Oryza sativa Japonica Group: one gene and its partner. The protein of the gene in region 1 binds, or shares a complex with, the protein of each later gene. Links are inferred from orthologs where the notes say so. Each region holds a gene or a part of one and is shown in the gene's direction. Other genes may lie near its edges.

The links. The genes of interacting proteins can lie anywhere in the genome.
Region 2: actin-related protein 2 (region 1) and actin-related protein 2/3 complex subunit 3 share a complex: the UniProt entries of both Arabidopsis thaliana proteins name them as parts of the arp2/3 complex. The link is inferred for Oryza sativa Japonica Group from reciprocal best matches to the Arabidopsis thaliana genes ARP2 and ARPC3.

What each region holds. Positions count from the first base shown.
Region 1 is NC_089042.1:17,335,652-17,339,845, reverse strand, and holds the start of actin-related protein 2, read left to right. Parts: upstream 1-1,394; 5' UTR 1,395-1,507; coding exon 1,508-1,549; intron 1,550-2,215; coding exon 2,216-2,326; intron 2,327-2,419; coding exon 2,420-2,554; intron 2,555-2,698; coding exon 2,699-2,770; intron 2,771-2,862; coding exon 2,863-2,941; intron 2,942-3,069; coding exon 3,070-3,119; intron 3,120-3,657; coding exon 3,658-3,761; intron 3,762-3,876; coding exon 3,877-3,945; intron 3,946-4,028; coding exon 4,029-4,092; intron 4,093-4,162; coding exon 4,163-4,194. UniProt on the Arabidopsis thaliana protein: Functions as ATP-binding component of the Arp2/3 complex which is involved in regulation of actin polymerization and together with an activating nucleation-promoting factor (NPF) mediates the formation of branched actin networks.
Region 2 is NC_089036.1:7,667,405-7,671,610, forward strand, and holds actin-related protein 2/3 complex subunit 3, read left to right. Parts: upstream 1-1,406; 5' UTR 1,407-1,541; coding exon 1,542-1,544; intron 1,545-2,004; coding exon 2,005-2,113; intron 2,114-2,216; coding exon 2,217-2,486; intron 2,487-3,222; coding exon of another isoform or gene 3,223-3,233; exon of another isoform or gene 3,234-3,296; coding exon 3,297-3,439; 3' UTR 3,440-3,831; downstream 3,832-4,206. UniProt on the Arabidopsis thaliana protein: Functions as a component of the Arp2/3 complex which is involved in regulation of actin polymerization and together with an activating nucleation-promoting factor (NPF) mediates the formation of branched actin networks.

The sequences.
Region 1 (4,194 bases):
AAGAACTTAAGAGCAAAAAGTTTTGCAATCATATAAAGATGACATCATTCTAGACAATAAGGTTAAACTATTGAATTGTATCATATGTGAAATACGTTGGTTTTTTTAAGTTATAGAAAGTTGCTAATCGTTATTTTAGTATTCTGAAGTTAAATTAAAAATAAAATTGAGAGTAGGTCTTATAACCTGTAGCTAAATTTTATCGTGTTAAGAACTTAACAACAAAAGTTTCCCAATCGTAATAAGATAGCATCATTTTAGACAATAAGGTTAAATTATTGAATTGTGTGAACTATAGTTATAACTAATATAATTTGAAGACGTCTAGCAATATTTGAGAAGAAAAAGACGAATAAGTAAAATGCAGGCTTACATTAATATACTCGCTCAATCTTTACAAATACTTTTAATCACTATATCTACTACATATAAAATTATTACATTCTCCATTTATTGAATCAAATAATACTATTAGCAAATCAAACCAGCTCAGGCTTTGGTCGTTGGTAAAAAACGTTTTTTTACTAGTCTGGCTTCGGCTTCCTGACCAGCGGTAGCGCTAGCTTGGTGAGTATCTGTCCCTTCAATTGAGGACAAATTTAACTATTAGGTGGCAACCCTCTAAACGCCCGATTAGTGCCTCTCTCTCCCTCTTCATCTCACCATACTACCCCCTTCATGCTGGTCGTCTCAATCTTATAGCCACCTCGCTAGCCGTTGTAGATTGGTAGCCACCCTACCAATTGCCGGAAGCCTCCCTGTTACCATGCCTGCTCATTGTTGGAGGAGCTCTAGCACAAGGTAAGCGTTGAGGCCAAATAACTCGCCAGGCGATAAGAGGAAGTTTGGTGCAGGAGGAGTCCCCACTTAGAAGTGGAGGTATTTTTTTAATAACAATGGGTCTCCAAGGACAACAGTTGTGAAGAGAGACCTAGGCGGCAGAGGAACTAGAGGGCGTAGGGTTCCCCAGGTTAGGATGTGACGTCAAGCTCGTCGCCACCCAAGTTCCAAGATGCACACCTTGTCTTTGTCGAGCTCAAGCGGTCACCTCATCGTCAGGGTTGACGCCCTCCTTCATGTTAGAGCTAGTTTGACAACTAGCGGGTACAACGATAGGGACTTTGCTATGATTAAGGTGGCTGTTAGGCTTTAACAGCTAGCGAAGAAATGAAATATAAAGAAATTGCTAACCTTGCTATGCTAGCGGGCCATGTAGATAAAAGTATAACAAACCACCTTTATTGGATGATAATTTTGTGAAGACAAAATTAAAAGGAGGCATTTAGCTCCCTCTATCAAAATCCTCTTGCTTAAGATCGGAGAGACGTGGTCGCTGACACGTGGGCCCGATGGCAATGGGCTCCACGTGTCAGTGAGACAAATGACTACTCTCCCAACCCCGTCCCCGTCCCTCCCCTACTCTCTCGCCTTCTGTTCCTCCCCCTCTCCCTTCCAACTTCCCAAGCGCGCGCGGGGAGACGATCGGCGACGGCGACGGCGAGGCGGAATGGACAGCGGGAACGTGGTGGTGTGCGACAACGGCACCGGGGTAAGCCCGCCCTCCCCCCCTCCTCCCGCAGCCTGATCCCTGATCCAGCGTGGCGACCTCCCTCCCTCCCTCTCTACCTCCACGCTCCTGCCCCTAGATCTGCACCCCCTCCGTCCCGGTTCTTCTTCTTGGACGGTTTCTTGGATTTCTTCTGAAATTTCCTGAATATATACGATAGGATTGTTTCTCTCTCTTTGGTTGGGGAGTAATTAGCATCTGTGCTCTAGATTCATTTGTGCCGAATAAGTTTTGCTGCTTACTACTGAGCTGTAATTAATCTAGGATGAAATGATACGTGTGCACATTGCAAGAAATTGAAGGGGGAAATTGCTCTAGTATGGTGGAATTATTGTTCTCCACATAGGCAGGAAAAATTGCTGTAATACGATGAGATTATTGTTCTCTGTTGAATCTTTAGATAATGTCCTTCCAAATGCGGAACTGGAATAGATAATGTTCATTCATATAAACCACATTAGTTTGATATTTTGCGGTCCAAAAGAAATTATGCTGTTGTCTTTGGCTTAGTTTCTGTTAAGTATTTTCCACATCATTCCTGTGGCTTGATGTTCGATATGCTTAAAGCCTTAAACAACAGCAGAACATATCATATTCATAGGTGATCTTGTTAATTTCTAATTCGGTACCTAATGGCTAATGTTGCAGTATGTAAAGTGTGGCTTTGCGGGAGAGAACTTCCCTACATCTGTGTTCCCTTGTGTTGTTGGGCGACCATTGCTCCGTTATGAGGAGTCACTCCAGGAGCAGGAATTGACGGTCTGAAATCAATGTCTATCTTTGTGTTTCTGGCATTCCCTCATTCTGTCTCTCTCTCAGTACACCTTATAATTGTGATTGTGTTCCACGCAGGATATTGTGGTTGGAGCGGCTTGTGCTGACTTGAGGCATCAACTTGACGTATCATATCCTGTTACAAATGGGATTGTTCAAAGTTGGGATGATATGGGCCATATATGGGATCATGCATTTTACAGTGAGCTGAAAGTATGACTTTTCATATGATTTATATTACTTTAACATCAGACCCTTTTAAATTTATATGCTCATAATTCATCAACATTCTCCGTTATGTGTCTTGAAATCTCTTAGCTCTAGGTAAATCAATGTATTTCTATTTTGTTTCTTTAGGTTGATCCTTCTGAGTGTAAAATTCTACTGACAGATCCACCACTCAATCCTGTGAAAAATCGTGAAAAAATGGTAGGTTGTTTTCTCCCATCTGGCTGTTCTGTACTATGAAATTTGTTTTTTAAGATATCACTAACTAGCAAATTGAATCCTACGATAAATAGATTGAGACAATGTTTGAGAAATACAACTTTGCTGGGGTATTCATCCAGGTCCAAGCTGTTCTTTCGCTATATGCTCAAGGTACTCTCTCTCTCTCTCTCCCCTTCCCCCCCTCTCAGTATACAGACACATGTATGAGCTTGCACACCTACAAACACAAAATGTACTGGTTCTTTTCTTAACATGTATTATGTTTGTATCCTTTCCAGGTTTGCTGACTGGACTTGTCATAGACTCTGGTGATGGTGTCACTCATGTGGTATGATAATAATAGTCTTCCCTATATTGTACAATCTACAAAGATTTGAAATGCAGAGATTCCATTTCTGTTAATCTTGTGGTGCACTACAAAAATATCTATCTGATGCATGTTTATAATTTTCTACTGTGCTAATGGGTATTCCTCAACTCAACAACTAAGAGGATCTACCTTTTTTTGTTGATCCAGTGAAGATGTATGACCAAGACTATATGCATACCTTGTTTCCTTGTAGGCGGCTTAGTAGAAATCACAGCCATTGAACACCATAATCTATGATTTCTGGTCAAAATGTCGATCATGGAAATAAAATGATAATTTAAACTATACTCCATAGTCCATAGTTAGTATGGCATGCTAGTGCCCGTTTAGTTATTCTCGCACATAGCCAGTTAACATTGTAAGGTTATCACCAACGTGTGTAGTAAGTAGTAAGCACAAAAAGTTAAGCAATTGAATACTGACTATTGTCAATTTGCAATGTGAAAGAAAGTTTTATCTAGATTTACTTTTGCCCGTCATGTTTATTATGATCCAGGTGCCGGTAGTTGATGGATTCTCTTACCCACATATTACAAAAAGAATGAATGTAGCTGGAAGGCACATAACATCTTATCTTGTTGATCTACTCTCAAGAAGAGGGTAATACTCTTTATCATTTTTATATGTTTGTAGATAAAAGATGCTCTGAAAACACAGGCTTATGCAATTGTTTGCTTCAGTGTTTTTCTTATCAACTTAATTTCGTGCTTTAAAGGTATGCTATGAACAAATCTGCCGACTTTGAAACAGTCCGGGAAATAAAAGAGAAACTATGTTATTTAAGGTCAGTTGCTTTATTGTTCTTAATTGTTTTCGCTATAGCTTGCTGTCACATTTCATAGAATTGAAAAGGGAAAATATGTACAGCTATGATTACAAGCGTGAATACCAGCTAGGACTTGAAACCACTATCCTTGTCAAAAGCTACACTGTAAGTATGTTAACCTGCTTTGTTTCTATTTGGTCCCTTTTTGTATTATTGGCTGAACTTTTGTCATCAGCTTCCAGATGGAAGGGTAATCAAAGTGGGCAC
Region 2 (4,206 bases), on another chromosome or scaffold:
ACACACTAACTCTCTCTTTCTCTCCATTTTATTTTCCCCCGATAGTTGGGGAACCGCTAGATCCAGCAAGAAGGAGCCTGGATCTAGCGTCTCCACTCTTCATCGGGTCGACTCCTGCCTCCGTGAGTCGCTACAATAGTATGCATGACAAGAGGGAGAGGAAAAAAAGATGGCTCATGGAGTGCAACTAGAGGGTGCAGTTGCGCATGCAAAGACAGAGAGGAGAAACGATGGTGGCTCATAAAGAAAGAGTGGTGGTGGCGGTGCGTGGAGTAATAGTTAGTGGTTACTGGTAGTATGAAGAGTTTGTTGTCGACTCAAATCGCTAACTGAGTTTGTTAATTTTTAGAATGTGGACCACTAGTCATTATAAAGAAATAGTCATTATAAAGAAATAGCTAGTCTTATAAAGTAGTAAAATATTGAGATATCATAAAGGTGAGAGTACTCGTCTAGAGCTTTTAACTTTTTACCATTTTTAAAATATGGTAATTAAGAATTTACTACTCACAATCTATAATACGTGGATCCTTATGTGTATATGACACGAGAATGCTCCTTCTCGGTCGCGCGAGGGGAGGGGAAAAAATCGGTCGCTCCACCCTTCCCCCATCACGTGCGCACCAGCAATCTCTTTGGGCCCCCACCACATGTCCCCTGTCCCCACCTGCCACTTGTCCACACACACAACTCTATTGCAACAAATCACCCACATATTTTGAAAACCCTATATTAAGGGAATTTGGTTTACTTTTTGTTCCACCAAAAAAGTTTCACGTAGTGTACTCATAATGTTTCACTATGTATAGATCTAATGTTGCAGTGAACTAAAATATTCCATTGCAACAAAAAAACCCACATATTTTGGAAACCCCCTATTAAGGGAATTTGATTTATTCTTTGTTCCACCGAAAAATGTTTCACCTAGTGTACTTATAATGTTTCACTATATATGGATCAAAAGTTGCAGTGAACTGAAACATTCTTTCACTATTTGCTGAAACATTGTTTTTATATAAGGTAAAACAACACCCAATTGAAACGAGTGAAATATTTTCGATCTACTTAGTAAAACAATTCCGATATACCTGGTGGAACATCGTGCAACATTTAAAAATAATTCAATAATAAGGTAAATTTTTTTTCGTCGAAATATATGCCTGTGTGGCCTTGTTTTGAAGATTTAATTGCAGCGAATTTAATGATGCAATCGGATTATGATATGGATAAGTAATTTAAGAGAAAAATCAGTTTAAAATAGTTTTTCACGTAAAGCGTCCGATTTTTCTCCAAACCGATCAGACGCACGATCCGTAGACTCGTCCGTCCGTATATACATGTGGGACCAGCGGTAAATTCTTAATAATTCCCAATAGTAAGAGTCTGAGCGTCTTCCCCTTCCCTTTGTGGCGTAAAAGAAAGAAAAGAAAATCTCCCGTCTCTTTGTCTCCTCCGCTCCTTGCGCCGCCGAGACGAGTCGCGGCTGAACAGGGGAGGGGCGGCGATCTCCATCGGGGCGAGCAGAGCAGGGGAGAGGATTCATGGTGAGCATCCGCATCCTCTTTCTGATTCATCTCTCTCTCTCCCATCGGGACTACTTTTGTCTGGAATTTGCTTGCGTTCGTTCGTTCGTTCGTTAACCCTAGCTTCTCTTCTAGATCTGGAAGAAGCTCTTCCCTTAATTTCAGAGCCTTAACCTTAATACAAGTAACAGTTTGTTTATTCCCCGAGAAGTTTGAACCCCCATGTCCCAAGTTGGATCCGCTCCTGTACATAATATTGGCAGCTTGTGGCACTCTTGAATGGAGGTCTTGGAAGATACTTTAGTACCTGTTCTATTAGATTGGTGTGTTATAGGCCCTGTGTGGAATACAAGAATTTTGCTCGGTTTTCACCTTTAATTTTCCTTGTATTTCCACCTTGTTTTGTTAGATCGCTGTTGCTCACTTGCTTGCAATGTACCGTTATCTGAACATCATATGCTTTTTTTCTACTTGTGGACAGGTTTATCACTCTAGCTTTGTTGATGACACCGGGATTACCAAAGCATGCGGCTGTCCTTTGCTTCCACTAAAAACTCATATAAGGGGCCCAGCGCCAGCATTCGATCAAGGTATACTGACACGGTGACAACATAAAATACATTGTGATATACTTCCGTGGTTTCACTCTGACAGAACCATGCCAAGCTGCTGATTTATGTCGTGCTATTACAGACAAGGCTGACATTGTTGATGAAGCAATTACATTCTTCCGAGCAAATGTCTTCTTCAAAAACTTCAATGTGAAAAGCCCAGCAGACAAGTTACTGATCTATCTGACATTTTACATCAATATTGCCCTGAAAAGGCTGGAAGGTTGCCGAACACTGGCTGTTGGGACAAAGGCAATCATTAATCTGGGTTTGGAGAAAGTTCCTGTGCCTGGGGAACCAGGGTTTCCCTTCCCTGGTCTTTTCACTCTACCCCAATCTCAGGAGGAAGCAGGTATATGACTTCATCCGCCACTACCACATTTGTGTGCTTGTATTCTCTTTTACTCCCTCCGGGTTGATAATACTTGTCGTTTTGGACAAGAGCACGCTTTCCAAAAAACAACTTTGGCCATTATTTTTAATTATAATATGTATAAAGGTGTTAACAAATATATGATTTTATTAAAGTACTTTTTAAGACTAATCTATACATGTAGTCACCATATTTTAAAAATGATTCATAATCAAAGATTCTAAAATTTGACCTCACCCTTGTCTAAAACGATAAGTATTATCAGTCCGAAGGGAGTAGTTTCTCAACTGTGTGAAATCATTGTTGCTTTTTATTCCTAGAGAAAAGCTTGCCTTATTTCTCGAATAGTTAGTTTTTCTTCTTTTCCCCCAATTGTTTATCCATGCTGCTTTTCTTCTATACCATACTATTTGTCCTGGCTAGGGAAAAAACAAAAGAATGAAGCCTATTGGAAATTTAGCTTTTGTGAGATTACAAGGGGACCTTTCCAAACTACAGCAATTTATGTCTTAGATACTTTTATTTTGGATTTAACTAAATCTGTAGTGAACTCCTTATTTGATGTCCTGTATATATGTTTTTTTTTTGTCAATTTCTATGGTCTAAACTATAAGTCTGCTCTGGGTATAGAAGCAATAAGTTGCTTACTGACTATTGACAACTGTTTTTAGGAACATCCAAGTTGTAATTGCATCAGTTTTTTTTTTACTTCTAGGGACTAAATAAAACAGTAACTTTCCATCTCTCATGGAATGTGATCTCAATTAAGCATTTCTCTGTTGGATTCAGAACTATTGAGGAATTATCTGAAGCAGATAAGGGAGGAAACAAGTGGAAGGTTGCTTAACTGCGCATACAGAGCTAATGGTACTCCAAACAAATGGTGGTTGGCTTTTGCAAAGAGGAAATTCATGAACATTGTCATTCTTTGAAGTATAGGTATTTTCCGCGACATGTTTGAGCAATTGAGCAGCTTGTAGGAATGGTAATTGCACTTGCGTACTTATTTCTGCGAATACTTTAGAGAATTAAAGGAACGACAATGATTCTACACCTCGATTGATGGAGCCAAAGGTTCTAATGAAACAATGGATAGAATGTCAACAATTTGTTTATTGCAATGGATGAACACAAGGACACCTTTCAGCTGTTATGTTGAATTTCTATTTTTCATTTTTATTGTACTCCGTCCGTGCCCTTAAATTGGGCATGTATTTTTCAGATGATGTTTGAATAGCGAATGTTCCGTGTAGGACATTTGTACAGATTTAATCAGGTGTAATGAGAATGTGAATATATATTTTCCTGATCCCTCTTTTTTGTATCATTCGTGTTAATCCTTTATCTGTTTTTTTTTCAATATGATTATAAGATATGGAGAAACCTGGACGTGCGCTTCCCTGATCTTGCCAAACGTTGGGAGTAAACTGCTGCTTATAAACACCTCAAGTGTGAATTGGCATGGTTAATTTCATTATTCGATGAAGCATTCTTTGATACAAGGTGCTTATAAACGATTTGAATGCAAAGCCCATTGCATCACTGAGACCTGAGGTGATATTCAAGCTCTATGGCTTGTCAGTCACCATGTCATTCGACACAAAGGATATCTAATGCCAGGTGTTCATACATAGATTCAGAAAAACAAAATATCATTCGACACAAAGGATATCTAATGCCAGGTATTCATACATAGGTT